Sus scrofa: one gene and its partner. The protein of the gene in region 1 purifies or fractionates together with the protein of each later gene. This does not show direct contact. Links are inferred from orthologs where the notes say so. Each region holds a gene or a part of one and is shown in the gene's direction. Other genes may lie near its edges. The genes, in order: MTF2 and JARID2.

Region 1 (15,393 bases):
TTAAGGCATCCTTTGGTCATGACCATGGCCTCCCCACTTAAAACTTAAAGGTATCATTTTGGTGGTAGCTGCGCTGGATATATTACCTTGCAGTGGTTGCTTGATCCTGACCCCACTTAGGGCTAACAATGAATGAATATTGAGAACTGCTACCATTTTGTTTTAAACGTCTTTGTTTCTGGAGTTTTTGTGATGTGAGGTACTTGTTACTTTTTTTCCCCTAAATTTAAGATTTTTAATAAAGAAAAATTTTTGATTAATACATGAAATACATTATTGATATAAAATAACCTCTATAAGGAAATTAGTCTCATATATGGCTTTTTATTTCTTAAACAGAGACTCTACAGGGGCAGGTAATTCACTGGTCCACAAGCGGTCTCCTTTACGCCGAAACCAAAAGACCCCAGCATCCTTGACCAAGCTGTCTTTACAGGATGGACATAAAGTCAAAAAGCCAGCATGTAAATTTGAAGAGGGTCAGGATGTCCTAGCTAGATGGTCAGATGGCTTGTTTTATCTTGGAACTATCAAAAAGGCAAGTTCCTTAATGTATCTTTTTTTTTTTTTTTTTTTTTTTTGCAGTTAACTTTTAATAATCTTGAATTTAAATTTAAATTTTAGTTTTTTTGCTTTTAAAAGAAATCTTCATAAGTTTCCCTCTGTTTTTCAGATAAACATATTGAAACAGAGCTGCTTCATCATATTTGAAGACAGTTCTAAATCCTGGGTTCTCTGGAAGGACATTCAAACAGGCAGGTGCTACTATTTCTCTTGGACATGATTTTCACTAAAACTGTATTTTCTTCAGCTTGTCATTTTCTAGTGTTGTCTGTTTAGTACAGTGTATTAGGATAACTCAGAATCAGTTTTGAGGAGAGGCTAAATCAGTATTCTTCATAGTCTTCAAAGAGTTATAATCTGTATTATAAACCATAAGAACAAGAATTACTGGTAGATTAGAGGGCAGATGTATACATTCTGATGCACATGTATAAATTCTTGTTAGGACCTTTCTAAGAACTTTGAAAAAAAATTTTTAGCTACTAAAACAAGTAACACTTTGGACTTCATCTTAACTGTTACTTTCCTCTATTAGTCTAAAGTGGTATAGGGAGCTAATGTATATAGAACATACTATTTGCCAGATGTTTTGGGGAATTAGGACTTATTAAATAGGTTTAGAGTACTAGAAATATTCATTAATAATAGTGGTTTAAAATTATTGCTTAATTACTCTTTTATGTTTAGATGGGAAAACGAGGTTATATTTAGGTGCAAGTAAAAATGAATACAAGTATGTTGTGGTTTGGTTTAGGTATGTTTCTTGTAATGCTTTTTATTTTTGCAAACTGTAATTGCTGAATGCCCTTTGAATCTGCTAAATAAAAGTGTTTTTTTCAGGTATCTTTCATGGAGAGTGCTTTATATATTTAAAAATTATGAATATTAATAAGTATTCACAATCTGAGTATTTTAACAGCATGCTAAAAACCCCACTTTTGGTATTCCCCCTTTTTTTTTTTTTTTTTTTTTTTGTCTTTTTGCCATTTCTTGGGCCGATCCCACGGCATATGGAGGTTCCCAGGCTAGGGGTTGAATCGGAGCTGTAGCTGCCAGCCTACGCCAGAGCCACAGCGACGCGGGATCCGAGCCGCGTCTGCAACCTACACCACAGCTCACGGCAACGCCGGATCGTTAACCCACTGAGCAAGGGCAGGGATCGAACCCGCCACCTCATTGTTCCTAGTCGGATTCGTTAACCACTGCGCCACGACGGGAACTCCTGGTATTCCTTTTAATGGGTTAATGGGCCTGCACTAAGGTGTTTTTATATTTCCTCTTGTAGAAAGGAGAGATAAATTCTTTAAAGTATCTATCGGTTGGGTTTTGTTTTTTTTTGTTTGTTTGTTTTTTTGTTTTTTGTTTTTTTTGCCTCTTCTAGAGCCATACCCACAGCATATGGAGGTTCCCAGGCTAGGGGTTGAATCGATGCTGTAGCCGCTGGCCTACGCCAGAGCCACAGCAACGCAGGATGTGAGCCACGTCTGCAACCTACACCACAGCTCATAGCAACTCGGGATCCTTAACCCACTGAGCAAGGCCAGGGAGCGAACCCGAAACCTCATGATTCCAGTGGGATTCATTAGCCACTGAGCCACGATGGGAACTCCCAGTTGGGTTTTTAATTCGAATCCCAGTGTGGCTTTTTGGTAGGTTATAGCTGTGTTCTATTTCTTGATTTCACTCTTACTTTTTCTTAGAGAATGAAAAAGTTTTGGTATAAAGGAATTGGCATGTTCTAATTGCCGTCTTTATACATGTCACTCAGGGATTAGGTGGAGAACTCAATAGCTGTTACTCTAGTAATATGTCTTAAAAGTGTTTATAGTTCTTGAGGCTGATCAATTTAAAGGACTAAATTTATGTTTTGAATCTCAAATTGAAGGATCTGTGAGAAAAGGAATAGGAGGTCTCCAGCAGTAGTGATATTGAACAGATCTTATTCCCCTGTACACAGAACTATCCCTTTTCCTTAATTTGTAAATATGTGTCTCTGGTGGAGCTGAGCCATGTTATACTGCTTCTCTTCCTCTTCTGTTAGCTATGTGTTCCTTTCAGCATTTCAACTGTTTGGTGGTTTCTGTAGTTAAATAGAGGTTTGTCTGTTTTTCTGTCTTCTTCCCTCCCTCCCTTCCAGAAAGGAAAAAGAAAGCCAGTAGTACATAGAGATAGAAAGTGAGGGGGTCTTGTCCAACTTGTGTCCTATCCAGTATATCAGTTCAGTGGTCTGTATTGTTCTTGCCTCACTGGCTCCTTTTACTGTCCTTAGAATTAGATAGAATAGCCCCTTGGCCATTTCACTCTTTGTAACTCGCAGGAAATAGCACACTTGTGACTTGGAGTTTGTGTAGAACAGACAAGTGCATTGCATTGTGGCAGGTTTCAGTGCATGGTGTAGTTTTAGTAGTTTTCTTCCTGTAAGGAACCTGCTAATAGTTACATACCAGAATAACTTAATTAATTTCACTCATCTAATAAGATTCTTTTTAAAAGTTTACATGAATGGCAACAATTTATAGGCATATTAGTAGACAAAGAAGTGTGCATTGCAGCAGGGAGATATCATGTTAAAGCTGTTAAATAAATTTATAAAAAGATTTTAATCTTAATACCTAATACTGTTATGGTTTCTGTGAAAATGATACACTGCTGGTGGCAGTGTATTTAAATATTTATTTCAGGTATTACTTTGACAGTTGCACTAAATGCATAAAAATTTATATGCTTTCATTATACAGCAGACTCATTTGTAGCAGTTTATTCCAATAAATCATAAATAAAATGTATAAAAATTTACTGTAGTTTATTTTAACAGCAAAAAATTTGGCATATCTAAGATAGAAATGGCTTTATAGTCATTTGGATTTAGAGTAAGGGAGACTATAGAAAGCTGCTAAGCTACAAAGAAAGTTTTTTTAAACTTGATGGTCAAAAACTCATATTGGATTTATAAGTAAAGGCAATTCTCTGCTTCCTCAGGATTGTTTCCTGAAGGAATACATGTTGTTTGTTGACTCTACACCCTCTTTTCTGAGGAACTGCCTTCCCCCACACCATTCCATATGTTTAAGTGGGAGTCACTTCAGGCACTTACCCCAGCTTGGGGCTATTGGCCCTTTTCTAGGATGTTGGAGATTTGGACTGAGAGGGTCTAGGCTCAGTCTGGTTACTCTCCTGATTGGAGCCATAAACTGAGAAACTAGGGGATGCTATATCCAGCCAAGTGAACAAAGCCTGGGAGAGAAGAGAAGAGAGAACAAGAAACAAAGCAAAAAAGGAAAAATGCAAAAAACAAGAAAAAAAAATATGGTAGCCTGCATATCTAAGAATAGAGGTGTAGTAAATCAAATTTGGTTCTTTCCACCGGATAGACTATTATACAGGTATTAGAAGTTAATAGTTTTTGAAAACTATAGTGTGAAATGCTTTTGATGGAAAAAAAATTTTTTTTTTCTTGTTAGCTTTTTAGGACTACATCTGAGGCATATGAAAGTTCCAGGCTAGGGGCTGAATCTGAGCTGTAGCCACTAGCCTACACCACAGCCACAGTGAACATGGGATCTGAGCCGCGTCTGTGACGAACACCGCAGCTCATGGCAGCACTGGATCCTTCACCCACTGAATGAGGACAGGGATGGAACCTGCATCCTCATGGATCCTAGTCGGGTTTGTTACTCCCTTGATGGAAGAAATATTGCATAGTATTAATGGAAGGAAACATCTCACAATGGAGAGACTATGGATACTGGTGCATCTGAATTTGAATCTTAACCTTGATATTCTGTGACTGAGGGTCCTTGGGTTAGTTACTTTTATTTTTCTGAGCCTTAATTCTTCTCTATAAACGGGATATTTATCTAATAAGTTGGAGAGTTAAAATAATATGTATCAAGAGCGTAACAATGCTTGGTTCACAGCACAGAATTTAAATTTTTACTGTTGATATGTGAATAAAGCATGTGTGTTAGTATTTTAACTATAAAATTGAAATTGATAAGAGAATATTGGAAATAATTGTGTTAGAGTGATAAAATTATATTCTAAATTTTGCAGAATAAAATTGTTTTTAGAATAGAAATATTTAAAGAAGAAACAACCTAACCTATTCAGGTAAAAAATGTAATTAGTAACTGTGGAACCTCTAACTTTTGTTACAGTGGGATTTGGTTTAGGGTCTGTTACTGGACATCATATATCCAGGTTTCTGAAGCAAGAGTTCAAATAATTGATGTTCAACCTTTTTTACAATTAGTAAATAAGAAATGTTTTGCATCGAGAGAGAAAGGAGTCATTGATAGATCTTCCTTGCCTCTTTTCTTTAGTCTCATGATGTTAGGCGGTGTAGGGTGAGTGAATACATGTACATGGGTATGTGTGTGTGATCTGAAGAGTAGTTCTGTTCACCAGTATCCCCTTTGCTCACCCCCCAGGAGAGTGGGAATATTGGAAGTGAGTGGTAGGGGATCCTGCCTGAGAGCAGTTTAAATTACGTCCTCTCCCAAAAAACAGATTCAATCACGAATGTAGATAGTAGGCATCTTAAGTTAAAGGTGGGAAGAACACATATCGGGAGCAGAGAGATAGTATTTTGTATACAGTACTTTGCCTTGAGAAGATACCCTTATGATCTAGTGAACAGACATTGCTAGCATTGGCTACTTACAGACTCAAAAAAGTAGTTTTGTTATATGGAACAATTCTGTCTTTTTAATGGATGTTGACTGTCTTTTTAATGTATATTTAAAATATTTTAGGAGCCACTGGAAGTGGGGAAATGGTCTGTACAATATGTCAAGAAGAATATTCAGAAGCTCCCAATGAAATGGTTATATGTGATAAGTGTGGCCAAGGTAAATGTTAATTGCTTTTAATCTTGTGGAAAAGTTTTGTTATATACCTAACACCTCTGTTAGAGATGAATGATTAAAAATTCTTTACATTGTAACTTAAAGCTGTCATGATAAGTTTGTTCGTCATTGTAAATATGTTAATGTAGGAAAAGAATATTAAAATGGCTTCTTAAAATTATGTTGCAGTATTTATTAATAAAATAGAATTTGCTTTATGCTTTTTTTGATATTAAGGATATCATCAGTTGTGTCACACACCTCATATTGATTCCAGTGTGATTGATTCAGATGAAAAATGGCTCTGTCGACAGTGTGTTTTTGCAACAACAACAAAGGTATCTTTTAAGTGTTTTGGGCTAATGCCCTAAATGGAATTTGTAAGGCACTATCAACGTAATGATTGTGTACGTTGAAAGTTTATTTGAGTGAAATGAGCAATCAGTGCTGGGTAGAAAGAGGTGCTGCTTATTGTTTGACTAATGAAGCTTAAGTGACTTGCAGCTATTCTTGCACTTATTTTATGATAGTGATCTTGGTATTGGGGCAGTAGTTTGAAAGAAAAGACAACAAAATAGAGGTTATTATTGGTCAAACAGTTTGTGATATGGTAAGAAATTTAGAGTGGAAAATTCTTGAGAAGTTTCAGAAGTGTTTGAAGATTGTAGAATTGTATTTAAAATTTTATCCTTCACTCTTTTAAATAACTTTTTCCCTCTAATATAGAGGGGTGGTGCACTTAAGAAAGGACCAAATGCCAAAGCATTGCAAGTCATGAAGCAGACATTACCCTATAGTGTGGCAGATCTTGAATGGGATGCAGGTCATAAAACCAATGTCCAGCAATGTTACTGCTATTGTGGAGGCCCTGGAGAGTAAGTAAATACACTTATTTGATGCCCTTAGATTAATTTTTAATTGCTTACATTGTCTGGTTTATTTTTGCTACTGATTGTGGTGGGTGAGTGATAGTGAATTGTAAATGCATGAAAGTATCAATAAAGAGAATGGGAGGGATTAGAAGCTGTAGTTTTATTCATCTTTATCATTGAATGTTTGCTAAATAAGAGTTCTAAGAATGTTTAGAAATTTACTTTTTTTAAAAATTTGAAAAAAAATTTTTTTTGACTGCACCCATGGCGTTTGGAATTTCCTGGGTTAGGGATTGAATTTGAGTGGCAACGCTGGATCCTTTAACCCACTGTGCCAGACTGGGGATCGAATGCACGCCTCCACAGCGACCCAACCCACTGCAGTCTGATTCTTAACCTCCTGTGCTGCAACAGGAACTCCTTAGAAACTGATCGTTAACTTCTTTTTTTTTTTTTAAAATGATTTTTATTTTTTCCATCATAGCTGGTTTACAGTGTGCTGTCAATTTTCTACTGAATAGCAAGGTGACCCAGTCACACATACATATATACATTCTTTTTCTCACATTATCATGATCCATCATAAGTGACTAGACATAGTTCCTGTTGCTATACAGCAGGATCTCATTGTTTATCCTATAAACTTACTTTTGAAATAGAGTGTCATGATTAGAAAATGCAGTGTTTCTACTAGACTGACAGTGTATAATGAAGCTATTAGAGTTCTGGATATTATGTTTTTGTTGCAAAGAAAGTTTGTATTACCTCTCTTTGGTCATCCTATCATGTTCTTTTGGCTCAGTTTGGGTTTGTAGGTGGTTAAATAAAATCTTTAGTTCTTTTTTTCATACAAGTTGATATTAAGTCAAATTGTGCATCATGTATTTGTACTACATTTTTTAAAATGTTAGTGAATAACTTTACATTTAACTCTATTTAAATTGTAGTTATTGGTTCTTGAATCTTCCTTATCAGACTCCGCGCTTCTCTTAAGACAGGGGGCTGTCTAGGAGAATGCTGGGACATATAAGGTATTCAGTGATGAAAACATGAATAAATGAATATATAAATGAATGAATTTTTAGTTCTTCATTCTACCTTGTCTCTGATCTTATGGAATTTTTATTTGTGGTTTAACCTTTCTATAGCATTTCTCAGTTTTTGGTCACCTGTAGATTAAAGAAGCATTCTGTCTGGTTTCTTTAAGTCACTTATAAAAGATACAGTGAACCTAGATATTGATCTTTTTCCTTTTTTCACTTATACTTAGCATTTTAATTTATAGGCATTATTTTATGAAACAGATTGCTCATTGTTCTTTACCATAACTACATGAACTATTTGATATTGCTAGCACTTTAACTTTAGCACCTAACAGAGTACCTGGAACATAGTATTTGTTGTCTTGATGAATCAAAGACCTTAGTAGTAGTTGTTTTGGCTTTGCCTGTATATGGCTTAAAATTAATGTGGGGCTCACTTATTGAGCAAAAGAATTATTTGAATAAAAGGTGTTTTTGGGGTGGCAAATAAGGTATTAATATATTAAAACCACGTACTAACTTAAAAGATAGGATATCCTTAGCTGAAGATTCAGTTTTAGGCATCTTGAACTATCTGAAAGAGAAAGTCTGTCACAAAGCCTTTATACCTGGTAGAATCTTAGATTGGATTTATAGTTATGTTAACCAAATTTATTAAATTGCTATACTCCTTTTCATTATAATGAGCAAGAATAATAGAAACACAGTGAAGGCATAAAGTTGCCTATGATCCTTTGTTTTATGGGACAAATAGCTCTATACATCAGAGACCACTGAGGCAATCAATGTGAAAAAAAATCCCATGCTTGACAAAGATCTTTTACTAGTGTAGGAACCAGGCACTTGTTGACTAGAAATAATAGATGTACTTTTCAAGAGCTTATAAATTCTCATGAATAAAAGAGAGGAGGGATGAAATGGTCAATATTAATAACCTTTTGAGGGAGAAAAAATATGACAATAAATATACCAGAAATGTGTTACTGTAATTATAACTATATTCTGCATGTCACTTTTGTCAATTTTTTTTTTTTTTAAATACTTTACCTCTTAAAGGTAGTAATTTTAATCTTAAATTTTTCCTTCTAGCTGGTATTTAAAGATGCTGCAATGCTGCAAATGTAAGCAGTGGTTTCATGAAGCTTGTGTGCAATGTCTTCAAAAGCCAATGCTATTTGGAGACAGGTGAGAAGAGCATTTGAGCTTTATCGATTTTTTTTTTTTTTTTTTTTTAGCTTTTAAAAAATTGTGGTAGGAGTTCCCATCATGGTGCAGTGGTTAACGAATCCGACTAGGAACAATGAGGTTGTGGGTTCGGTCCCTGGCCTTGCTCAGTGGGTTAAGGATCCGGCATTGCTGTGAGCTGTGGTATAGGTCGCAGACGCGGCTCGGATCCCGCGTTGCTGTGGCTCTGGCATAGGCTGGCAGCTACAGCTCCGATTCGACCCCTAGCCTGGGAACCTCCATATGCCGTGGAAGCGGCCCAAGAAATGGCAAAAAGACAAAAAAAAAAAAAATATTGTGGTATGTTTGCATTTTCACATTTCTCAAAGTTTTAATAGTGATTTGTAAAGGTTCATCTTAGAAGTAAAATATGGAATAATACACGTATGGAGTTCCTGTGTGGCTCAGTGGATTAAGGATCTGGTGGTATTACTGCAAGTGGCTTGAGTTGCTGCTGTGGCGTGGGTTCACTTCCTGGCCTGGGAACTTTCACCTGCTATGAGTGCAGACAAAAAAAATAAATAAGTACTGAATAATATACTTAAATTATACATAATTTTTAAAAAACATAATTTTTGTGTTTTTGGGTATTGTTACAGAAAACTTAAGTATTTGATCAGTGATTATACTTGCTCCTACTGCCCCGCAGTACTCTGAAGTATTCTCATTGGTACTTTCTCTTAAAAAATCTTAAAGGAATCCTGTGACAGAAAATTGGAAAAGGCCACAAAATGTTGATGCACACAATTTATACCTTAGGTCTAAAGTATTTCTAGAGGTTGATCTGATGTTTTTTGGATTAGAAGAATGTGAAATAGAGTTCTAGGAAGAAAACCTGCAGAGAGAGCACTAAATATGACATCAAAAACCTTGGGTTTTATTTTTATTATTTTGTCTTTTTATGCCTGCATATGAAAGTTCCTGTGCTAGAGGTCAAATCAACAATATCAAATCTGGGTTGCATCCAGTTTGCAGCAATACTGGATCCTTGACCCACTGTGTGAAGCCAGGGATCGAACTCGCATCCTCATGGACACTGTGTTGGGTTCTTAACCCATTGAGCCACAATGAGAACTCCAGACCCTGGGTTTTAAATCTTAGCTTATGTCACTTATTATCTTTCTGACCTTAGGAAGGTCAGTTTGTCTCCTCTGGGCTTATTTTACCAGATTATTCTGAGCAATGAACGTGGAAACAGCCATTGCAGTTCTTAGTCCACACATGCCACTTGCAAACTCTTCCTGTGCAGAAATCTGTGTGAACTCTGAAAGTCTTTAATGGTTAAAAAATAGTGCTTCTTCCCCTCCCAGATACAAACTATTTAATTATTTGTCATTACTGGGAAAGAAATTCTTTAAATGATAGTGTCATGATTGAGATTATATTTTGACTTTGTATGTCAGCCCTTATGTCAATTGTAGGGTACGCATTTGCTGAATATTTTAATTAAATGATTATATGTACTCTTTTTTTTTTTTTTTTTTTTTTTTTTTTGCTTTTTAGGTGGCCCTGCAGCATATGGAGGTTCCCAGGCTAGAGGTCAAATCGGAGCTGTAGCCACTGGCCTACACCACAGCCACAGCAATCCCATATCCGAGCTACATCTGTGACCTACACCACAGCTCACAGCAACGCCAGATCTTAACCCGCTGAGCAAGGCCAGGGATCAAATCTGCGTCCTCATAGATCCTAGGCAGATTTGTTTCCGCTGAGCCAGGACGGGAACTCCAGTTCACATGTAGTCTTGATTATTCATTGTGTACTTTTCTTTTCTTTAGGTTTTATACATTTATTTGCTCTGTCTGCAGTTCGGGACCAGAATACCTCAAACGTCTACCATTACAGTGGTAAGTACCGACATTTCTATTAGGAACAAAAAGAGCCATATTTTATGAAACTTTCTGTATACATTTACATGGCTTAAATAAAGATTTGTCCTTTTTTATGCCTGGCTTTCTTTCTTTCCCTGTATTTATCCTCAAGCCTAATGTCTTCCCCAAGGATATCTAGTTTTATTGCTAAAGTAATAAGGTCAGTCAGTTTCTAATGGCATAAAATGTCACTTTCAAATTTTTTAGATCTTGAAAATTCTTACTCAAATTTCTAGTCCTTTTGGGTCTTCAGAATAGCATACAGTAGAAGAGAGAAAATGTCTTATAATGCAAAAAAATTTTCTGCCTCAGTTAAGTAATGCTGGGTATGGGAAGTAAAATGAATAAAATTTTGGAGATTTACTGAAAATGTGTATGGTACATACTTAGACATTTTTGTTAAATGTTTTACATATTTTAGGAAAAGATAAGATTTAACTTCTGAATCAGATAAAAAAGTCTGTTAAAGTATGATCCACTTTGTAGCTTATATATAGTAGTGAAAACACGAAATTTTAGGTTATAAGTTATTTTTTCTTAAAGTCAGATATTCTTTAAGTGCATTTTAAGAAATCAGATATCTTTTAATTTTTAGTTAGTATTCAGGTTAAGTTAAATGTTAATGTTTTTCATATGTAATGATTTATTGTGCATATGACTTATGATATTAACGCTCTGTTTGCCTGAATACTTCACTTTGGATTTTTTTAATTGCTGGGTTTGTGAAAATACTGTGTAATTTTTAAACAGTAACAAAAAACATTGCTTTTGTATATTTTGATTTTTTTTTTTTTGGATTCCAGGGTAGATATAGCACACCTATGCCTTTACAACCTAAGTGTTATTCACAAGAAGAAATACTTTGATTCTGAACTTGAGCTTATGACATACATTAATGAAAACTGGGATAGATTGCACCCTGGAGAGGTAGGTAGTTTTAGAGCTAACTTCATTAGCTACTTGATGTCTTTTTTGGTTTTTTTGTGTTTCTTAAAAGCTACTAAGACACTTATGTAAGCCATACATCTAAAGTAGCGTTTTACTTTTAGTTAGGGAGAAATAATTTTGGTAAGGCTGTCAGGATCAGCCCTCATTTCCTGTTGACTGTTGACTTGAGGGGGGAAAAAATGTAGAAGGAAGTAATGTACTGGATTTTTCCATTTTCTGAAGTGAAAAATCACTATAGTTAAAGATAGAAGGGAGGGAAGTTCCTGTTGTGGTGCAGCAGAAATGAATCTGACTGGTAACCTTAAGGTTGCAGGTTTGACCCCTGCCTCGCTCAGTGGGTTAAGGATCCAGCGTTGCGGTGGTGTAGGGTGCAGATGTGGCTTGGATCCTGCATTGCTGTGCTGGTGGCTATAGCTCCGATTTGATCCCATATACCATGGGTACGGCCCTAAAAAGCAAAAAAAAAGGAAAAAAAAAATAGAAGGGAGGGTATCTTACTTATGATTTCTCTTTCTTTTTGTCTGAGTTTTCTATAAATTTAGAGATGTAACCAGCAGTCTTCTTTCCTCTCTTGTTGGTATTCCCTTATATATATCTTTGACTTTCAGAAATAGTGAGACCCAGAAGCAGAGTTAGAATAACAAGTTAAAGGGGTTACCTTGTGGCACAGTTGGTTAAGGATCTGGCTTTGTCACTTTATCCTGGTTAAGGATAAGGCTTAGGTTGCTGCTCTGGTGCAGGCGTGATCCCTGGCCTGGGAACTTCCACATTTTTGGGAGTATGGGTGTGGCCAAAAAAAGAAGAAGAATAAGTAGTTGGAGAGTTGAAGCTATCTGAGTTGAGTCGGAGATTACCACTCTCATTCTGGCATCTCGTTTTGCTTTTCATTTTGGGAAGTGTAACCACTTATGCTGGTTTACAGAGTCATTTTTTTTTTTTAAAGAGTATAAAAGTTAATGCATGTTCATTGAAGGTTTTGAATCTACAGAGTAGCACAAAAAAGAAACTAACTAGAATAACATTAATATTTACCTTATTTTTAGCACTTATTTAGAGTTATTAAAATACAAATATTGACTACTCTTAGGTTAACTAAAATATTTGTTTTATAATATGTGGAATTAGATGTGTGACTCTTAGTTATGTATTACTTTTCGAGGTAAATATTATGTAAACTGATGTGAAATTTAGGAAGGATTATTGAATTTGTAGCTCTTAGACATGAGGCAGTTTATGAGGTTTACATCAAATAAAATACCAAGGATTTTTTTTGTCGTCTTGGGGTTTTATGGGGCATCAGGGAGCACATAATGCCCATTTATTTAAAAGTTAGTAGTAGATTATTTGCATAAAATTAAAACAAATACCTTTGGAATATTTAGATTTTAAAATCAGTTGAGCTAAGATGTTTTGACTTTGAGTTAGAAATTGGAATATAATTCTCTTGTTAAGTTTTCTGCTAAAAGCTTCTTTTTTTTAGATGACATTTGAGAGCAAGTGAATGACTTGTACACTTGATAAATTTTAATAAACTGATTAATAATGGAAAAAAGAAGTATGCACCTGACTATTGTGTTCTTTATAGCCTTTTTAATTTTATTTATTTTATTTTTATTTTTTGTCTTATTAGGGCCACACCCACGGCATATGGCGGTTCCCAGGCTAGGGGTCGAATCGGAGCTGTAGCTGCCAGCCTATGCCGGGAGCCACAGCAACACCAGATCTGAGCCGTGTCTGCAGTCTACTATGCCACAGCTCACAGCAATGCTGGATCCTCAACCCACTGAGTGAGGCCAGGGATAGAACCCGCAACCTCATGGTTCCTATTTGAATTCGTTTCTGCTATGCCACGACAGGAACTCCATATAGTCATCTTAGTATTTAATGTTCTCATACATTTATTTGAAATTCTTTCTTTCTAGTTACGGTTCTTTCAGCACTTCATATGCAGATCATCTCTGTTCTTGTTAGTATACTTTATATTTTACATGATTTAATTCTGCACTGATTACTTCACATTGTCAGGGAACATGCATATAAAAACTAAAGTTGTTTTATGCTTAAAATGCTATCTTAAATATTTAGAGTTTATTAAAGAGGCTGAAAATAAAAATAATAGTCATAATTAGTCTTTTAAAGAAGTGAGTTCAGTTTATGAATTTCATGTATCTCAGTTCTCCTGAGCTTCTGATATATATCAGAAAAAGTTTTATTTCAGCAATAGATACATTTTTATCCTCTGTAACCAACGAGAGAATGTCTTAGAAGTAAGAGATTTCAGTTTCTTATTCTGTGTCAAAATAGAAAAGTGTACCTCTTTTTATTTAAAAATTAAGAAAAACGTGATTAATTTAACTTTACAACAGAAAAGTTTTCTGAAGATTATTTCCATTTTGAGGGTGGGCATCAAATTTATTATCAGAACAAGTGACTTCCCAATAACTTTTCATCGCTTTCTTTGCATTAAAAAAAAAATCAGAATTCTTAGCTTAGTTATCTCATCTTCAGAAGAGTTATTTACAGATGGAAGTCCAGGTTTTAATTCTCTATGTGAATATTTTACATCTTAATATTGTAGTTGTAATTGGCTTTTGAGTGAGATTTTAAAGATAAAGAGACTTAAAGTTTGTGTTAGTAATATTTCTTTGATTTTTATTTACTTTACTTTTAAATGTTTATAGTAATAGAAACAAAAATAATACAAAAAATGTATTATTCCAAATTATTAAGGTAGTAAATCTTGGTTAATTGAAATTGAGTTGCAAGTTGAATTTTGTCACTAACTCAAAATCAGGTTAACAAAATTTTCTTTTTGTTTATACTTGTATTCAAAATCTTCTTAAAAAGTAACATTAATTACAGTTGTCCCATGATACCCATGGGAGATTGATTCTAGACCCCCTTTGGATACCAAAATCTGAGAATACTCTAGTCCCTCACATAAAATGATGTGGTATAGTTGGCCCTTCATATCTGATTGATTTTTCACCATTGGAACCCATGGATACTGAAGGCCAACTGTATTTTCAAAACATGTGTGTTACTGTATGTACATTATAGGCATACCTCAGAGATAACAGGTTTTAGTTCCAGGCCACTACAAAAAGGCAAATCACAGTAAAGCGAATCAGGATTGTTTGATTTCCTGGTGCATATAAAAGTTACAATTGCACTACACCGTAGTCTGTTAAGTGTGCAATAGCATCATGTCAAAAAAAAAAAAAAAACCAATATACATACCTTAATTTGAATATAATGCTATTGCAAAAATGGTGCTGATAGACTCGCTTGAGGCAGGGTTGCCATGACCCTTTAGTTTGTAAAAAACACAGTATCTGTGACATGCAATCAAGTGAGGTTCGATGAAGGGAGGTATGCCTGTATTGATTGAGTTGGAATACTCAAGTTCATTTGAACATTGATTCTTGTAATTCATACTATAGATTATATGACAGAGACATTTTAGAGTGTGTTTGAGAGAGTCCAGTTGACTCTTGAAGAACATGGGGTTGGGGCACAAACCCTCTGCAGCTGAAAATGGTTATGTGACTAGAGCTGACCTGCCCTTCTGCAGTTCTTCACCCCAGATTCAACCAGCCACAGTGTACTACTGTAGTGTAGGTGTTTAGTGAAAAAAAGAGCTGTGCATGAGTGGACTCACGTAATTCAAACCCTTGTTGTTCAGGGGTCAACTATATATCCTTTCATTCCAAAAAGATGAAACATTAATGTACCATGTGTCTTGTTTTTAATTGATTATTTTCAGGATTGCTATGAAGAGAAGCTGAAACTTGTAGAACATATTAGAACATAGTGCTAACTTTATACCGTTTCTTTTTTTCTTTTTTTTTTGTCTTTTTTTTTGCTATTTCTTTGGGTTGCTCCCGCGGCATATGGAGGTTCCCAGGCTAGGGGTCGAATCGGAGCTGTAGCCGCCGGCCTACGCCAGAGCCACAGCGCAGGATCCGAGCCGCATCTGCAACCTATACCACAGCTCACAGCAGTGCTGGATCCTTAACCCACT
Region 2 (15,393 bases), on another chromosome or scaffold:
AACACAGATGTCACAGTTTTCCTCGTGCGAACCCCTGACATGATTGTGAGTTGGCCTCCCCTGCCTGGGGTGCCCGATTTTCAAGACCAGGAGGCAGAAAGCAGAGGGCGCCAGTGCTTTGGTGTCTTGTGTCTCCTGCCCGTTTCCAGCGGAGTTGGTTGGAGAGGCACTTGTGCAGAACTTTTTTTCCAGAGGTTTGCTTATGAAAGAGAACAATTCAGAAGGTTTCTAGAGAGGGAAGGGACGAATCAGTGACTTTATTCACATAGAACCGTTACCACACACGCACCCTCTTTCTCAGTTCGACGTGTGAGGGTAGATTGAGAACCCCGCCCGTCTTAGTTGGTCCAAGCTCCCCCTCAGCCCCCGGCGCAGCCCCCACACCATTCAGGACGTGCCTTTGTGTCTGAGCCAGAGGAGCTTGCCCAGTTGGGTGTGTGAGCAGAGGGGGGCAGAAGGTCCCCTTGCCCTTGGATCGTTCTGTCCCACAGCTCCACAGCTCGCTCATGTGGCCCGTGTCACACGCAGACTCCTGTCATCTGAGGAACCACGGGAGCCTGGCTGGCTGTCTGGGTTCAGGTCTCGCAGGTGGGGTGTAACCATCCCCTCCTCCACCTGTCTGATCCACCTGGACAGGCTGGCTCAGGATGCCCAGCTCTTAACATTCCTGGGCCCCACTGTGCTTTTGGAGCCAGTGATGCCACCTCCTCTCCCAGGGATATGGTGAGACATGAAAGGATAATTTTGATGCCATCAAATCCCATTAGTTAAGTACTTTGGTGGGGGGGGGGAGGTCAGTAAAAGCCAATTGTAAGTTCCTTTGTGAAGGTCTGATGCAAGTGATCAGAACTGACCTTTCATCTTTTCAGCTGCAGAAAAGATGGAGGCCCAAAGAATACATGGATACGATGGATTTTTTTCTGTTGGCCTAAAAGAAAAGATGAGTGATTGTATGGAGTGGGGCTGGGGGCGCTGCTGCTGAGACGTGGCTTTGTCCTGCTTGGTCCGTGCACCGAGAACTTGCGCTTCATGCTAGGACAGTCCCTCCCGTGACTTCCCACGGTGCAGGGTGCGAGATCTTGTGAACGCCCAGGCCTCTGGGACTCAGAGCACGTGCACCCCTTGAGCGGGGCCTCAGCGGCCCCCCGGCCTTTATTCTGCCAAGGGCTCTCTCTGCCAGGTGACATGTGTGTGGCGCTGTCGGGAGTGGCTGCCCTGACGCGGCGTGGGTGTGCGGTAGGAGCCTTGCACGCAGCAGGAGACAGCTGAGAGCAGTGGAGCACCTGTTCTTACACCCGGGGAAGGTTTGCAGACACGAGGAGGGCAGTGCCTGGAAGTGAGAGGCCGGCTGAGCCCTGATGCGGACCGTTAGGCCACGCCCGACAGGTTCGCCTACCTGCTGTCCTCTTTAACTGAGGCTGAGCCGTGACGGGAAGAAGAAAATGACGGCTCGTGTGGGCTGTGGTACCGAGGGGAAGGCTCTCACAGGCACATGCATGGGGGTTGAGGAAAGTCCTGGACGAGTAAGAGGAAGAGAGGAGGTTTAGCTCTTCAGACCAAAGAATGAGGCGTATTCTGTAACCTTCTAGAAAATGAAACAGGAGTATCCAGAGAGAAACATGTGAGACTCTCCTGCCTAGAAGTTCAAGGTCTTGCTCCATCTGCTCTTCATCGGGTCACGTGGGGAGTTTGCCTTGTGCGTCGGTGGTGTGGTATTTGTGACTCAGTTTAGTGGCCTTCAGAGAGAGCACGTGTAGAGAGTTTCAGGGGCTCCGACCAGGACCTAGGTGTTCCTTTTGGAGAGCAGGGCTGAGCGTCAGCTTTGTGCCTCTGCTCACCAACTTCCATCTTGGACCTCTCTCTAGCCTGGGGGCTGTCAACCAGCAGGTGTGCCCTCCCCATCCACAACTCACTGCCTGTCCATTGGCTTCTATTGATTCAGGCTCTTTGGCACTGTCCCCAGCCAACAGTGTCTCTCTAGGGCTCCATAGCTTCTGCTTTGAAAGGATGGGCAGAGCCATCTGACTCAATGGCTCCCTCTAGTGGGAAATGGGAGCTTGATAGTTGAATTTCTGGTTGAACTGTGGGCAGCTTCCATGCCTAGGAGGGTTTGCTGTAAAGCCTGGTGGCCTATGTGCCTGGTGTAACCTGAGCTACAGGAGACGGGGTGGTGGTGGGCCAAGAACAAGCCGAAGACACCCCACTTCTTGCAGAGCCGGGTGACAGTTGTGGGGAGTGGGGCACAAAGTTACAATATTTATATACCTGAAGGTTTTTTAAATATCTTAAAGTAAAATATATTATGAGTAAAAATATTCATAAGGCCCAGGGTCAAGTTCAGGAATGGACAGTGAGAAAGAAAGTAAAGAATAATGATTTCTCTTTGTTAATGATTTTTCAAAACTTTTGAGTCTATTAAAAAATCCCTGAGTAAACTGAACTGAGAGGCAAATTCCCATTGTAAATAGTTCTTAAGAAGAAGGTCTTCCATTCAGAGTAGATTGGAATTGTGCACTCGTCTGACCAGCACATCCTAGATGGCTTGGGCTGAGACAGAATAAGAACAAGGAGAGCCAGAGCACAGACAACACAAGCGCTCCCTTATTGGGTGACGGGGTGTCTGTGGCTGTCCCATGGATGTTGAGACAGAGGGGAGGCAAAGGACAGGAGGAGGTGCCCGCTTCTGTGGATGTAATTGTCATTGAGAAATCCATACCGGAGCCGAGAGGGCGCAGTTGGAGGAGCAGGGGAGGGCTCTGCGTGGGCCTCCTGCCTCCTTTGTTGGTGTCCATCCTCCAGTGAACTGCAGTCGTCCTCCTCCCGTGCTCAGTGTCAGCATTTCCTTAGGACGCGCGGCAGACCAGGCCCCGTGGCTGAGTGACCTGGGCGTGTGTTGAGGTGAAACCTAGTGTTTGGTCCTCCTCTGCGAGGCAGTGGTTCGGGGAGATGCTCGGTGGGAAGATGAAACCGTGCCTTCCTCCACTCCGGAGGCTGCAGTGGTACCAATTAAACGTTGCACAAGTGCAGGCCACGGAATGGAACAGGGACCTCTGTTTACAGAAATACGTAAACAAGAAGGTGATCTTTCTGCCATTAAGGGTGGTGAAATAGTCTGGAATTGGCATTTGCAAGCTCCCCAGGGGTTCACAGGGGTCCCAGGTTTGAGAAGCACCAGACCTAAACCTCGGCAAGACATCCTGGCTGACGGTGGACTCTGCTGGCAGGAGGTGGTGTCCAGGTGGCTGAAGTGAGTGTGGCCAGATCCCGGTCAGGTTTAGTCTCAATGGTTAACCTCAGACCCAGGGCCCTGGGCGGGTTCATTCGTCTCTGAAAATGTGGATCCCTGAACACCGGGCTGATGGGACACTGTGAGCCTCAGCAGGAGTTTACTGTTTGCTTTAGTTTTTTTAAACAGATTGTTTTGTTTTTAGTTGGTGGAAGGATTTGAAGGAACAGTTAGAGGCATTTGCATTCCTCCCCATACGTCCCATTCCAAGTTAGTGGTACTTATCATGGAAAGTTTGTCTTTGCCTCTTCTCCTGGTTTTATAAATTTGTTTTTAATTTATTGTTGCCAGGCTACTAGTTTTTTTTGTTTTTTTTTTAACTTACCCGTTGTGTATTCAAGTCTCCTCTTTCCAACTGCTGCTCTCATGGGTGGCCAGCGGAGGTGCATCCAGGCTTTCCAGTTTCTGGGCTTTCCCTTTGCCTCTTGCTCCAGGGGGCCTGGGACCTCACTGAGTCCAGAAGTTGAGGCTGCCTCCCCAGAAACCTGGTCCCCAGACATCTTGGGGTTGGGCCATGGAACCTATCTCACACCAGGAATTCATGGCTTTGATGGGACCGTGTCTACTTGGTGAATGAAGACATACAGGCCTGGGTGGCTTCTTTCTTTTTTTCTATTTTTAGAACTGTCTACTGATAGTTTGCTGCCATAGTTCCAGAGTGGGTCTTTGGGGGAGGCTCAGTGTCACCTGGGACCTCGTTCTGGGACCTGGATTCTCAGGCTCTATCCCAGACCTGCTGGATGGGAGACTCTAGGGGCGGGGCGCAGTGACCTGGGCTGGGACTGGTCTTGGTGCGGAGGTCACTGAGACTCAGGCCCTGAACTCTGGAACCTAGTCCAGGTGGCAGGGCAGTGGCACAGCCCTGGGCGCGTTGGATGTGGACAGGAGCGAACTGTCCCTCTGCGTGAGTGCAGCCAGCCGGCCAACTTCCCTCCTCCTGGGCACCTTCTCCTTGGAGGTCATTGGTGAGAAAAGGTGGTATTGTTTCTGCTCTGTAATTTTCGGTCTGGGAAGTGATGGTGCCTAGGGAACCCTGGCATCCCATCTTTTGAGCTCATGTTACAGGTGAGAAATCGGTGCCCAGGATGGTAAATGACATTTCAAAGGTCACCGAGAGTCTGAGTTGTGATGTGGCATCTGCCCAGCCTAGCCCAGCCATGGCTGTCACTGTAGGCCCAGCATTATTATTTGGAAACTGATTAATGCTTTTCTAGTGTCCACCTTTGTCACTCTGGCTTTTCTTTATAAATAAAGGAGACTTCGGTGTCACTAAATTACTCTGGTGTCCCAAGCTGTGAAGACAGGCTGATCGTTTACCGAATTCCCATAGATTTAAATGTGGGTGTTTGTTGAGGGCGGGAAAACGGGAGCTGCCCGTGCAGAAAGGGGGCCTGTTGGCTTCATCAGAGATGTGAGGTGTGTCCAGCACGCGCCCAGGGGCCCGACTCACAGATGTTGGCAGCTGCACTTCTGGGCGTGGCCTGAGACCAGCGTCTGAGCCACGTGAGTGCTCTCGTTTCTTCCTTTCCATGGCGTTTTGTTTTGTTCTTTATTTAGCATGTAGATTTTTAAATTTTGCTGCTATGTGGAGCACACGAAAAAGAGCAACCGTGTCTTGGAACAGGGGTGTGTGTGTGTCCCCATCTGTCCCCTCAGTGGGCAGGGCCTTGCTATTGTGAATGTCATTAACCGGGGACAGCTGATGGCAGGCACAGGGAGGGTCCTCACTGGGAAACATCTGGTTTCAAACAACCACACATCCAGGAGACCCCCTGGGAGGCACCCGATTGACTGTGTGATTTTGTGCAGGACGATGGCGCATAGTCAGCAAAGATTCTGAAACTAATTCTGCTCTCTCCCCCTCTGCTTCTCCTGTCACCTTCCAGGTTTCTAAGGTCAACGGAGTCACTCGAATGTCATCTCTGGGTACAAGTGCAACCAGTGCCAAAAAGATGCGCGAAGTCAGACCTTCACCGTCCAAAACTGTGAAGTACACTGCAACGGTGACGAAGGGGACTGTCACATACACCAAAGCCAAGAGAGAACTGGTCAAGGAAACCAAACCCAATCACCACAAGCCCAGTTCAGCTGTCAACCACACAATCTCAGGGAAAACTGAAAGTAGCAATGCAAAAACCCGCAAACAGGTGCTATCCCTCGGGGGGGCGTCCAAGTCCACCGGGCACGCCGTCAATGGCCTCAAGGTCAGTGGCAGGTTGAACCCAAAGTCATGCACTAAGGAGGTGGGGGGGCGGCAGCTGCGGGAGGGGCTGCGGAACTCCAAGCGCAGGCTGGAAGAGGCGCCCCCGGCCGACAAGCCGCAGTCACCCCCGAAGAAGATGAAGGGGGCGGCGGGTGCTGCCGAGGGCCCCGGCAGGAAGCCGGCCTCAGCCCAGGCCCCGGCCCCAGCCCCGGCCCCAGCCCCTGCCGAGAAGGCGCCGCCTGGCGGCCACGTGAAGAAGGAGGTGCCCGAGCGGAGCCTGGAGAGGAACCGGCCGAAGCGGGCAGCGGCCGGCAAGGGCCCGCCGGGCAGACAAGCACACAGCAAGCCGGACGCCCCCTGTGAACATCGTTCTACCTCGCAATCGGAGCCCCTGCCCCGGCCGCACGAGGCGGCGGCCAAGGCCGAGAAGGGGGCCGGCCGGGCCGGGTGGGCGGCCATGGACGAGATCCCCGTACTGCGGCCGTCGGCCAAGGAGTTCCACGACCCGCTCGTCTACATCGAGTCGGTGCGCCCTCAGGTGGAGAAGTACGGCATGTGCAGGGTGATCCCGCCCCCGGACTGGCGGCCCGAGTGCAAGCTCAACGACGAGATGCGCTTCGTCACGCAGATCCAGCACATCCACAAGCTGGGCCGGCGCTGGGGCCCCAACGTGCAGCGGCTGGCCTGCATCAAGAAGCACCTCAGATCTCAGGGCATCACCATGGACGAGCTCCCGCTCATAGGTGAGGCGCCAGGCCCCATGTCCTGCCCCAGCACCCCTGGTGGCCGCCCCCACGCCTGCACCAGCTCCATCCTGGCTGGGCTCCTTCTTGGCCCAGGAGGAGTCCAAGGCCGCCTTTCTTTTGGTCCAGGGGGCTCTGGGCAGGAGGAGGGTTGGTCCCAGGCCCCGCCCCTCCCTCCACCCTCACTTTGGGCATCACCTGCAGCAGGGAGCTGCAGGGTCACCAGGCCCAGCAGGATCCAGAGGGAGGGGCAGAACGGTGCATTGCTCTGCTGGGGCTGCCTTAACCCAAGTACTGCACGAGGGGAGGCTTGACCCGCAGGAGGAGGTTCCTCAGTCTGAAGGCTGGACATCTGCGAGCAGTGTGTGGCCAGGCCTCTCTGAGGCGACTTTCCTTGGCTCTCGGCAGTTGTCTTCTGTGTGTTTTCGCGTGGTCTTTGCTCTGTGCACACACTCCTTGTTACCTAGTCCTGTTGGGCTGGGACCCACCCCATGACCTCATCTACTTATGCTTTTAAAGATCTTGGGTCTAAAATACCGTCACCTCTGTGGCATTGAGGTTAGGACTCTGTACAGATGGGGTAGGAGCCAGTTTCTCGTTTTTCAGCTAATTTCTCATTTTTCCTAATGATAACTGCCCAATCGTTTTTCCTGTCCTATCATTTTTCCTAATGATAACTCATTTCAGTTTTTTGGGTGATAACTGGGCCCTCGTTATCAGCTCTGGGAAACCACGTGTAAACTCCTGAGAGCGGGCCCAGCTCTGGCTGGCACCCAGACAAAGCTCACCCCAGAGACTCCTTTTGTAAATGTATACCCGGGTGTCGTGGAGACCCCCGCCCCCTGGCAGAGCCCTCTCACAGCCCCCCTGGAGCTCCCATCTGCCTCTTACAGTCCTGGTTCTCATACCTCCAGGATCGACTCACTCTGTCAGGGAGGAGCGGCCCTGCAGTTGGGTCAGTTGGCTGAGGTCACGCGCTTCTTTCTGGCTCTAGACCTGTGACAGGAACAGGGTGTGTCTTGCCTCTGGTTCGAAGAGCTGGATTTTTCATGGTTAATTTTTTATTTCTATTTTTCTATTTTTTATTTTTACTCTAAGTGGTTGCACCGCGGCATATGGAAGTTCCCAGGCTAGGGATCGAATCAGAGCTTCAGCTGCTGGCTACACTACAGGGACAGCAATGCGGGATCTGAGCCGAGTCTGTGACCTATACTGCAGTTCATGACCACGCCAGATCCTTCAACCCACTGAGTTCGGCCAGGAATCGAACCCTCGTGGATACTTGGGTTCCCAGTGGGAACTCCTGAAAAAGCCTGATTTTTTCAGAGGCAGGGAGCAGAGGAGACATTCTTAGTCATTTATTTAGGTGTCGAGTTTTGGCAGGGGGCAGGGGTTTTTCGTGAGCCGAAGGTTTCGTTATTCCTCTCAGTGGCACGGAGACTCACTCACGTTGCAAGAATTCTTGGTTTTTGGTCCCCTGTTGGCGATGTGATGCATGGTGACCTGGGGCTGTGGGAACAGGCTGAGGATGTGACAGCATCTTGGGAGCTTGGTGCTTTGTTCTCTGCAGTCTCAGCTGGGTGATCCAGACATGCTGGCTCCCCGCCCTGCTAAGGGGATGGTGGGTCTTCTGGGGACAGGCGGACCATTCGGGGACATCATGAGGGCAGCCGGCCATCTTCTGTTGAGAGTAGGTTACCATAACCCTGACTCCCGTGGCACAGAAGCCACGAGGACGTGACACTGTGGTGTGTGTGTTCATGCCTGAGGTGTGAGGCAGCGTCAGCCTCCGGAAGAGGCTCTGAGCTCGGCCTCCCCTCAGTGCAGGGGACCCAGGAGCTGTGCAGGAATTTCCAGCATCCATGGAACGGGTGCGCCTTCTCTGGGAGGGCAGCGCTTGGTCTCGAAGCATCCCCATGGCCCTGAGAGGGGCTTCGTGGCAGCAGGTGAGGCGTGCACTAACGGGTTTGGAGGTACAGTTTCCAGCGCTCTTGGATTACAGCCATCGACTTGGAGAATAAAAACCAAAGTATGGGTTGCCTCCCTTCTGGTCTGAGCTCCTGGGCACAGTGGGCTGACTCAGCTCCTTCTCCACCGTGGCAAGTCCAGGCAATGTGCGGGCAGCCAGGGCCCAGAGCCCCAGAGTCTCAAGCTGTTGGTCCCTCCCCGCCAAGGTCAGGGTGAGTTTCTTCTTTGATGTGGCCCCCACTGCTCCTCTGACCACAGCCAGCCAGTGCCAGCATCCCACCCAGCACAGTAGATGAACTCGGGTTGCTGCTCCATCATACCCTGGCAATGCTGGGAGCCCGGCCTGTGCCAAAGCTCAGCAGCACCAGGTCCTTAACCCATCGCACCCCAGCGGGAACTCCTCATTTATTTTATACAAGTTTATCCTCACTCTCCAAAGATCTGAATATTCTTAATATTTCTTTTGCTTATCTAGCATTTTGTGGTGTATTTACCTCTTAATAGCCAGAAGAGATTTATTCTGAAAGATTCCCCCCCACACCCATTGGCTAAAGGGAGGTTAATTTTCCAGGTCCCATCAAGACAAGTCACTGCAGGCACTCAGACATATTTGGGTTTTGATGTGCTTTGTACGGTTTGATCAAGGGACACTGAAAACCAGCCCACACACCTTCTGGGATAAGCGTTCCTCTGCGTGAGCAGCAGCGGGGAAGCGCTCAGGGACAGGCCGACTGCCGCCTGCCCTCGGGGAAGTACTGCCTGCTGCCTGGAAGTGGGGCAGAGGCGGGGGCTCCTGGCAGGGGGTCGGCCTTCATAGCACAGGCTGTGTGTGTGCGATTTCTGACATCATGTCTGTTCCAGATGCCGCCGCTCCCCAGAGCCTGCTGCCCCACAGGGCTGCCCTGTTCCTTTACCACCACCTGCTTCCTGGGCTGGAGGGGACCTTTTGTAGCTGCCACCCCTACTCTAGGGGACGCTGGACTCCTCCTGCCAGCAGGTCTGTGTGGCCAGCTCGCCTTCCATTCAGGCCTCTGGAAGTGTCCCCTCCTTGGGGTCACCTGCCCTGACTATCCCTCCTAGGACGGTGGCCCCATTACTTGCCAGCCCCTAAGCCTGTCCTGACATTATCCTCCCCGCGCCCAGGATGCTCTAAGCTCCGCCTCTCCATGGACTACGAGACTGTTCATGCTGACCCCAGGGCCCAGCGGCGTCCCTGGCTCGTGGTGGGCACCGTGCACCTGTGGCCTGCCAGGTAACAGAAGGCGCTCTCATTCACGGGCCTCTTCACCCACTGTCCCTGTGTTTTCTCCCCTCGCCGTCCCAGGAGGCTGTGAGCTCGACCTGGCCTGCTTTTTCCGGCTGATTAACGAGATGGGCGGCATGCAGCAAGTGACTGACCTCAAAAAGTGGAACAAACTAGCAGACATGCTGCGCATCCCCAAAACCGCCCAGGACCGGCTGGCCAAGCTCCAGGAGGCCTACTGCCAGTACCTGCTCTCCTACGACTCCCTGTCCCCCGAGGAGCACCGGCGCCTGGAGAAGGAGGTGCTCATGGAGAAGGAGAGCCTGGAGCGGCGCAAGGGGCCCCTGGAGGGCCACACGGAGCAGGACTACAACCGCTTCCACCCGCTGCCCCGCTTCGAGCCCAAGAACGGGCTCATCAACGGCGTGGCCCACAGGAACGGCTTCCGCAGCAAGCTGAAGGAGGTGGGCCCCGCGCAGCTCAAGACGGGCCGGCGGAGACTCTTTGCTCAGGAAAAGGAGGTGGCGAAGGAGGAGGAGGAGGACAAAGGCATCCTCAGCGACTTCCACAAGTGCATATACAAGGTAGGCCGGCGGGCCGGGGCCGCGAGGCCGCAGGTGCCTGGCCGGGCAGGGCTGCAGGCGGCCGGCTCTGGGAGTGGGCCTCACATGGAGAAGGGCCTGCAGTCTCAGGGGCCTGGGCATCAGGACGAGGCCTCTGGGCATCTGGCTGGGGGCAGCGGGGGAGAGGGAGAGGGTGTATGTGCGGCCGCACGCCTGGGCACCACCCTCTCTGCCTGGGCTGGGGCTTTTCGGACGCGCGCTCCGGCCCAGACCCGTGCGGCTCCTTCCCGTCCATCACAGCGGATCTCCGTGGGAACCAGCTGTGTGGGAAGGGTCCCCACTTGAGCCAGGTGGCGCCGCCATCCAGCCACCCCAAGGAAACAGGGTCCTGGTGACTCCCGCTTGGCAGCCTGGCTCTGTGTCAGCAGAACTGCCCCTCTCCGGGCTGGGAGGGGGCAGAGACTGGCCCCCCAGGTGGCTTCTGGAGGCAGCAGGAGGGCGGCAGGAGCACTTTTGGGGTGTTGCCTGAATGTTTGCTCGAGAGTTTATCCTGAAATGAAGCTGCTTGTTAAATCCTGTGATTTCAAAAGGCCAGCTCCTGAAATGAGTTACTTACTCTCTTTTTGTTAGTTTGTTACATTTGCTTTAAGGGCAGTTTTACCAGTAAGGTGTTTTTTTTTTGTTTTTGTTTTTTAAGACGTGCTTTGTAAATAATTTTGGTTCCCATCATGAAAATCTAATTGAATTGGGCTGTTTTGGTGACGGCTGGTGGCCGTGAGGAGTTTGAGGCTCTCCAGGTTCTGAGCCTGGGAACAAAAACTCTGTTTTCATTGACAGAAAATCTGGTCCCTCACGGTCATCACAGGGTTTTTTGTAAGGGGTAGCAAGCACATCAGGAGCAGTTTGGAGCTGTATGCAAGTTTCTCTTTTAGTCAGAACCCGTAACAGAGCTGGAGCGCCTACGCCAAGGGCAGAGGCTGTGAGCTGCTGGTTCTGACTGGCCCTCCAAAGGCAAGAAGATGGCACAGGATCTGCCCCCAGCCTGGGGCTTCTCCAGGGTCTCCTCATTAGGGACGCCTTCCCTGACCCCCTCGGATGAAGGCCACCTGCCTTGCAGCCCTGCCCCCGGCTTCTGGTTCCTGGTCCCTAGTACCCCCACCCGGCTCTTAGGGGGTGTGCTGCCCTCTCTGCAGAGCTGTCCCTGGTACACAGTAGGCCCTCAGCAGCTACTTCCACCATCGTGGGGCACGAAGGTGGGGAGGCTGGGCACCTCCCGGGACTGCCTCGAAAACAGTGTGTGCCCCGGGGTGACATAAGGCTCCTGATCAGGGGCGACAGTAAGCTGAGGGCCTGCGGGAGGACAGGGCTGGCTCCTGTCCCCTGCAGGCCCATGGGGCCAGGCTGCTCATTCGGCGTGCCGGCCGTCAGGGCGGCTGTGGGAGTCACCCCGAGTATCTCTGCTGGGCCCCGGCTCCTTGGACGGCACTGGCGGTCCTTCTCAGAGGCAGCCTTCCCCCGGCTCCGCTGGGGTCCGCTCCGCGCTCTGGCCCGCGGTCACGGCGATAGGACAGGGACACCTGGCGGCTGGCTGGCTGTGGGGTCCCGCCTCCGCTCTCTTTCTTAAGCGCAACCTCATTTCTGCTTTCTTTTCAGGGAAGATCTGTTTCTTTAACGACTTTTTACCGAACAGCTAGAAATATCATGAACATGTGCTTCAGCAAGGAGCCGGCCCCCGCGGAGATCGAGGTGAGTGCGGCCGGGGGGCGTGGGCGGCCCGCCCCGCTGTCCTGGTTTTCACCCCTGCCCATCCGAGCTGTCGAGGTTCCGAAAAGGAATAATCAAGGGAGGGCCCCCCCGCCCCCCCCACACCTCCGGCTTGTCCCCGCCTCGCCCGACCAGAGGCCGCAGCCAGCGGGGCGCTCCCGGCGCGGGCCTGCCCAGCCGCCGCCCTCTCTCGCCCCTTCTCACCCCGGGCCCGGGAGCCTGTTACGCAAGAGAATGTTTGCAATCCCTTGGAACCACAGTTGTGCTTTTTCCTCTCCTATTTTTTATGTAATGGGATTGGCAGGTTGCCATTTTTGTGCTCCTGCCAGCTCTCCTCTTGGAGTTAGCGTGAGGTTGCAGAGCCCAATTAGGGGCTGTGTGAGGCTCGACAGAGGGCCAGGGCCCCGGTCTGTTTGTTTACATCCCCCGGCAGCTCCCAGCCACATGGCCAGAGGCTCCCCGATGCCGTCGGAGGGGGGCCTGTCCAGGGAGAGACGGCTCCTCCCACCACTCCCGCAGGGAGAGGGGAGAGGGGGCCGCAGCCTTGGCTTTTGTGGTGTGCAGCTGCTTTCAGGCCCTGTCATCTCCGAGGAGCTATGCCTCATCCTCCAGGTAAACCCCGAGCTGACCTCCACAGGGCCCAGGCCCTGATCTGACCGGGTTTCCTGGGACTGGGTTTTCTGGACTCAGTCCAGGTTGCCTGGTCCCGGTCCCCCTGCCCTCTGTCTGTGTCATGTGGACCCCCACCTCCGACGGTGGCCATTGGTAGCCCAGGAGGGCCCACTCTAGTGCCAGGTCTGGTTCCCAGGTTGGCGGGGCGCGAGTTTGATTTTAGCCCCCTTGTCGTTCTTCTCAGGCTTCAGGTCTCTGCTGGTGGGCATGGCCTGCCCGAGCTCTGTACCCTGGGCTGTATCTGTGGACAGCATGCAGTGGCCTGACCCCCACCCTGTCCGCCAGTTTTGACCCTGCCAAAGCCACGTTCCATCAACCCTGATATCCACAGGGCTCTGATTCTGGAACACGTGTGGCCACGACAGTTGCTTCTGGAGCGCTCGCGCCATTTGTGGGGGAAACGTCAGAGGAAAGGAACGTGACTCTCGGGGGCTGAACCTCCGAGCTGAAAACGGGACCTTTGTCCTACCCTTTCTAGCACACGTCTTTGTCGGAGTCTCCAGAGGTGCAGGGTTGTTACTTTGCTTGCTGTGAAGAAAGTTTGGCCTGCTTTAGTTTCCTGCTTGAGAATTAATTTTCCTTAAAAGTCTGGGTTTTGCTTTAGCGGTTGCATAGTATTTAAACACAAAGGGAAGGTTTGCTAAAATCCAAACTTTTGGTCTTCGTCTGGCGAACTTCTGGGTCCTGCAGAGAGCTGGGCCTGTCCTTGGCCCGGGGTCACCAGCTGCGCTGCCCCCACCTAGCGATGGTGCCCTTCCTCCCCGCAGAGGTGGCGTGAGTCTCGGCAGACGGTCCGTAGGGCTGGCCTGGCCCTGTCCCCTCGGACTGCTCCCCTGTCCCTTATCTGTAAGGATGTCCTTTTCAGAGACCCATGCCTATGATGCTGTCACTTTTCTTCTCAACGAGGGGCCTCTGGCCACCCCCAGGCTTGTCCCTCTCCGTAGGAGCCGCACAGCAGGGTGGGGGCCGACGCCTGGCGCTCCTGGAGGAGCCTCCTCCCGGAGGGGTTGGCGGAGCCCGGAGGGTGATGCTGCACTTCTGGGATGGTGACAAAACAGGCCCAAGAGGGGCCGCTGAGGGGGCAACCCTGCTACGCTAGCCAGGCCAGTGCTGACCTGCTCTTGCCCTGAGCTTGTTTATTGGATCGTGCCTGTGAGGATGACCTGGTCAGCTTTCGAACCTGGCCCGTGCCCACCCCTCCCCGCCTGTCTCATTGGCTCGGGGCACAGCCTAGAGGTCTGGGGCCTTCCCTTCCCTTGCTGTCCTAGGGTGCAGCTGTCCTGGCCACGCGTGGTTGTCAGGGTTGCCGGTTGTTGGGCTGTTGGGAGGAGTAGGCCATGTGCCCAGAGCCCGCCTGGAGGCGTGTTCCTGCCTCCTCAGGACTGGGGGGTGTCTTCAGCCTCCTTCCCGCTGCTGCCCTCTCTTTCCCTGTCACGCACATGATTTGTAACTGTGGTAAAACAGCGCACATGTCACACCCACCACCTTGGTCATTTTAAGAGTGCAGTTCAGTGGCTTCAGTGGCATTAACGTCCATCCATATTGTTATGTGGCGTCAGCAACCATCTCCAAACTGCGACTCAGCTCCCAGGAACCCGGATCCCAACCCCCACCCCCGACCCTGACCCCGTCCTCCTCCCCAGCCCCTACCCTGACCCCATCCTCCCCCAGCCCCTAGCAACCACAGTTCTTCTTTGTCTCTGACTTTGACTCTGCTCATGGGAGTGGAGTCACGGCGTTTGTCTTTCTGAGATGGGCTTATTTCACTTGCTGTGGTGTCCTCAAGGGTCATCCGTGTTGTGGCGTGTGTCAGAATTTCCCTCCTTTTTGTGACTGAGTCATTTTCTGTCATGGGGATATTGTACTTTTTGTGTGTCTGTTCATCCATCATGGACAAGGGCCGCTTCCAGGTGTGGCTGTCGTGAATGACGCTGCCGTGGCCGTGGCATTACCTCTTTGCAGCGCTGGGCGCCCTCCACTTAGAGGACTGGCCATCTCTCCCACCCTGTGCTCTATGGGAGGCAATGGGCCCTTTGTCGTGCTGTTAGGTCACACCTGGGTCTGTGGCCACGGGCAGCGTGGAGCTGATGGCTCTTCCTGTCCCCGCAGCAAGAGTACTGGAGGCTTGTGGAGGAGAAGGACTGCCACGTGGCTGTGCACTGCGGCAAAGTGGACACCAACACGCACGGCAGCGGCTTCCCGGTGGGGAAATCAGAGCCCTTTTCAAGGTAACGTGGCCCTCCTGCCCACGTCCGGGGCCTGGACAATGTCCCTCCCCGCGGGTCTTGACGCCTCTTTGCTTTGCTCTGCAGACACGGATGGAACCTCACCGTCCTCCCCAATAACACAGGCTCCATCCTGCGTCACCTCGGTGCTGTGCCTGGTAAGGCCCCTGCGGCCCCTCCTTGGGCAGGACTGGAGGGATGGGGTCACGGTGTGCAGAGCGTCAGAGAAAACGGGGGTTTTTAGACGAGAGAGAGGAGGAGGATCCGTGAGAACGTGGAAAGGTGAACCAAATTGCAGAATCTAGCAGCCAAGTTTTCACCTTGAAATTGGTATTTGGGGGCTCCTGCCTCATAGGTAGAAGGGGAAACAGGTGTCTTGGGCTTTGTGGGCGCTGAAAGTGGGGGGCCGTGGAGGAGATACCCCCCGCCCCTGGTGAGACTCCAGACAGAGGGGTCCTGCGTCCTGCCTCCTGCACAGCAGGTGTCCAGGTGGGCACCTGTGTTCTAAGCTGTGGGGTTCATGGCCACAGGGCAGCGGCTCGTTGGGGTCATGGTGCTTGGGCATCTTGCTTCCCACCTTAGGTCAACTAGTTCAATGTGCTTTTGCTACTGCCTTTACTTTTACTTTTTAATTGAAGTGTACAGTAGACGTACAGTCTTAGTTGCAGGTTTATAGCACAGTGATTCAATTGTATATATGTGGAGTCTTTTCCAGACTCTCTTCCC

Evidence for each region.
Region 2: the proteins of MTF2 (region 1) and JARID2 purify together in Homo sapiens (affinity purification with mass spectrometry; 3 studies listed by BioGRID and IntAct, with this or other methods). This does not show direct contact. The link is inferred for Sus scrofa from reciprocal best matches to the Homo sapiens genes MTF2 and JARID2.

The regions. Positions count from the first base shown.
Region 1 is NC_010446.5:124,064,344-124,079,736, reverse strand, and holds part of MTF2 (metal-response element-binding transcription factor 2), read left to right. Parts: intron 1-339; coding exon 340-538; intron 539-673; coding exon 674-755; intron 756-5,318; coding exon 5,319-5,414; intron 5,415-5,648; coding exon 5,649-5,749; intron 5,750-6,137; coding exon 6,138-6,286; intron 6,287-8,415; coding exon 8,416-8,511; intron 8,512-10,328; coding exon 10,329-10,397; intron 10,398-11,224; coding exon 11,225-11,348; intron 11,349-15,393. UniProt on the Homo sapiens protein: Polycomb group (PcG) protein that specifically binds histone H3 trimethylated at 'Lys-36' (H3K36me3) and recruits the PRC2 complex, thus enhancing PRC2 H3K27me3 methylation activity.
Region 2 is NC_010449.5:11,574,310-11,589,702, forward strand, and holds part of JARID2 (protein Jumonji), read left to right. Parts: intron 1-5,172; coding exon 5,173-6,232; intron 6,233-9,524; coding exon 9,525-10,027; intron 10,028-11,659; coding exon 11,660-11,752; intron 11,753-14,551; coding exon 14,552-14,670; intron 14,671-14,754; coding exon 14,755-14,825; intron 14,826-15,393.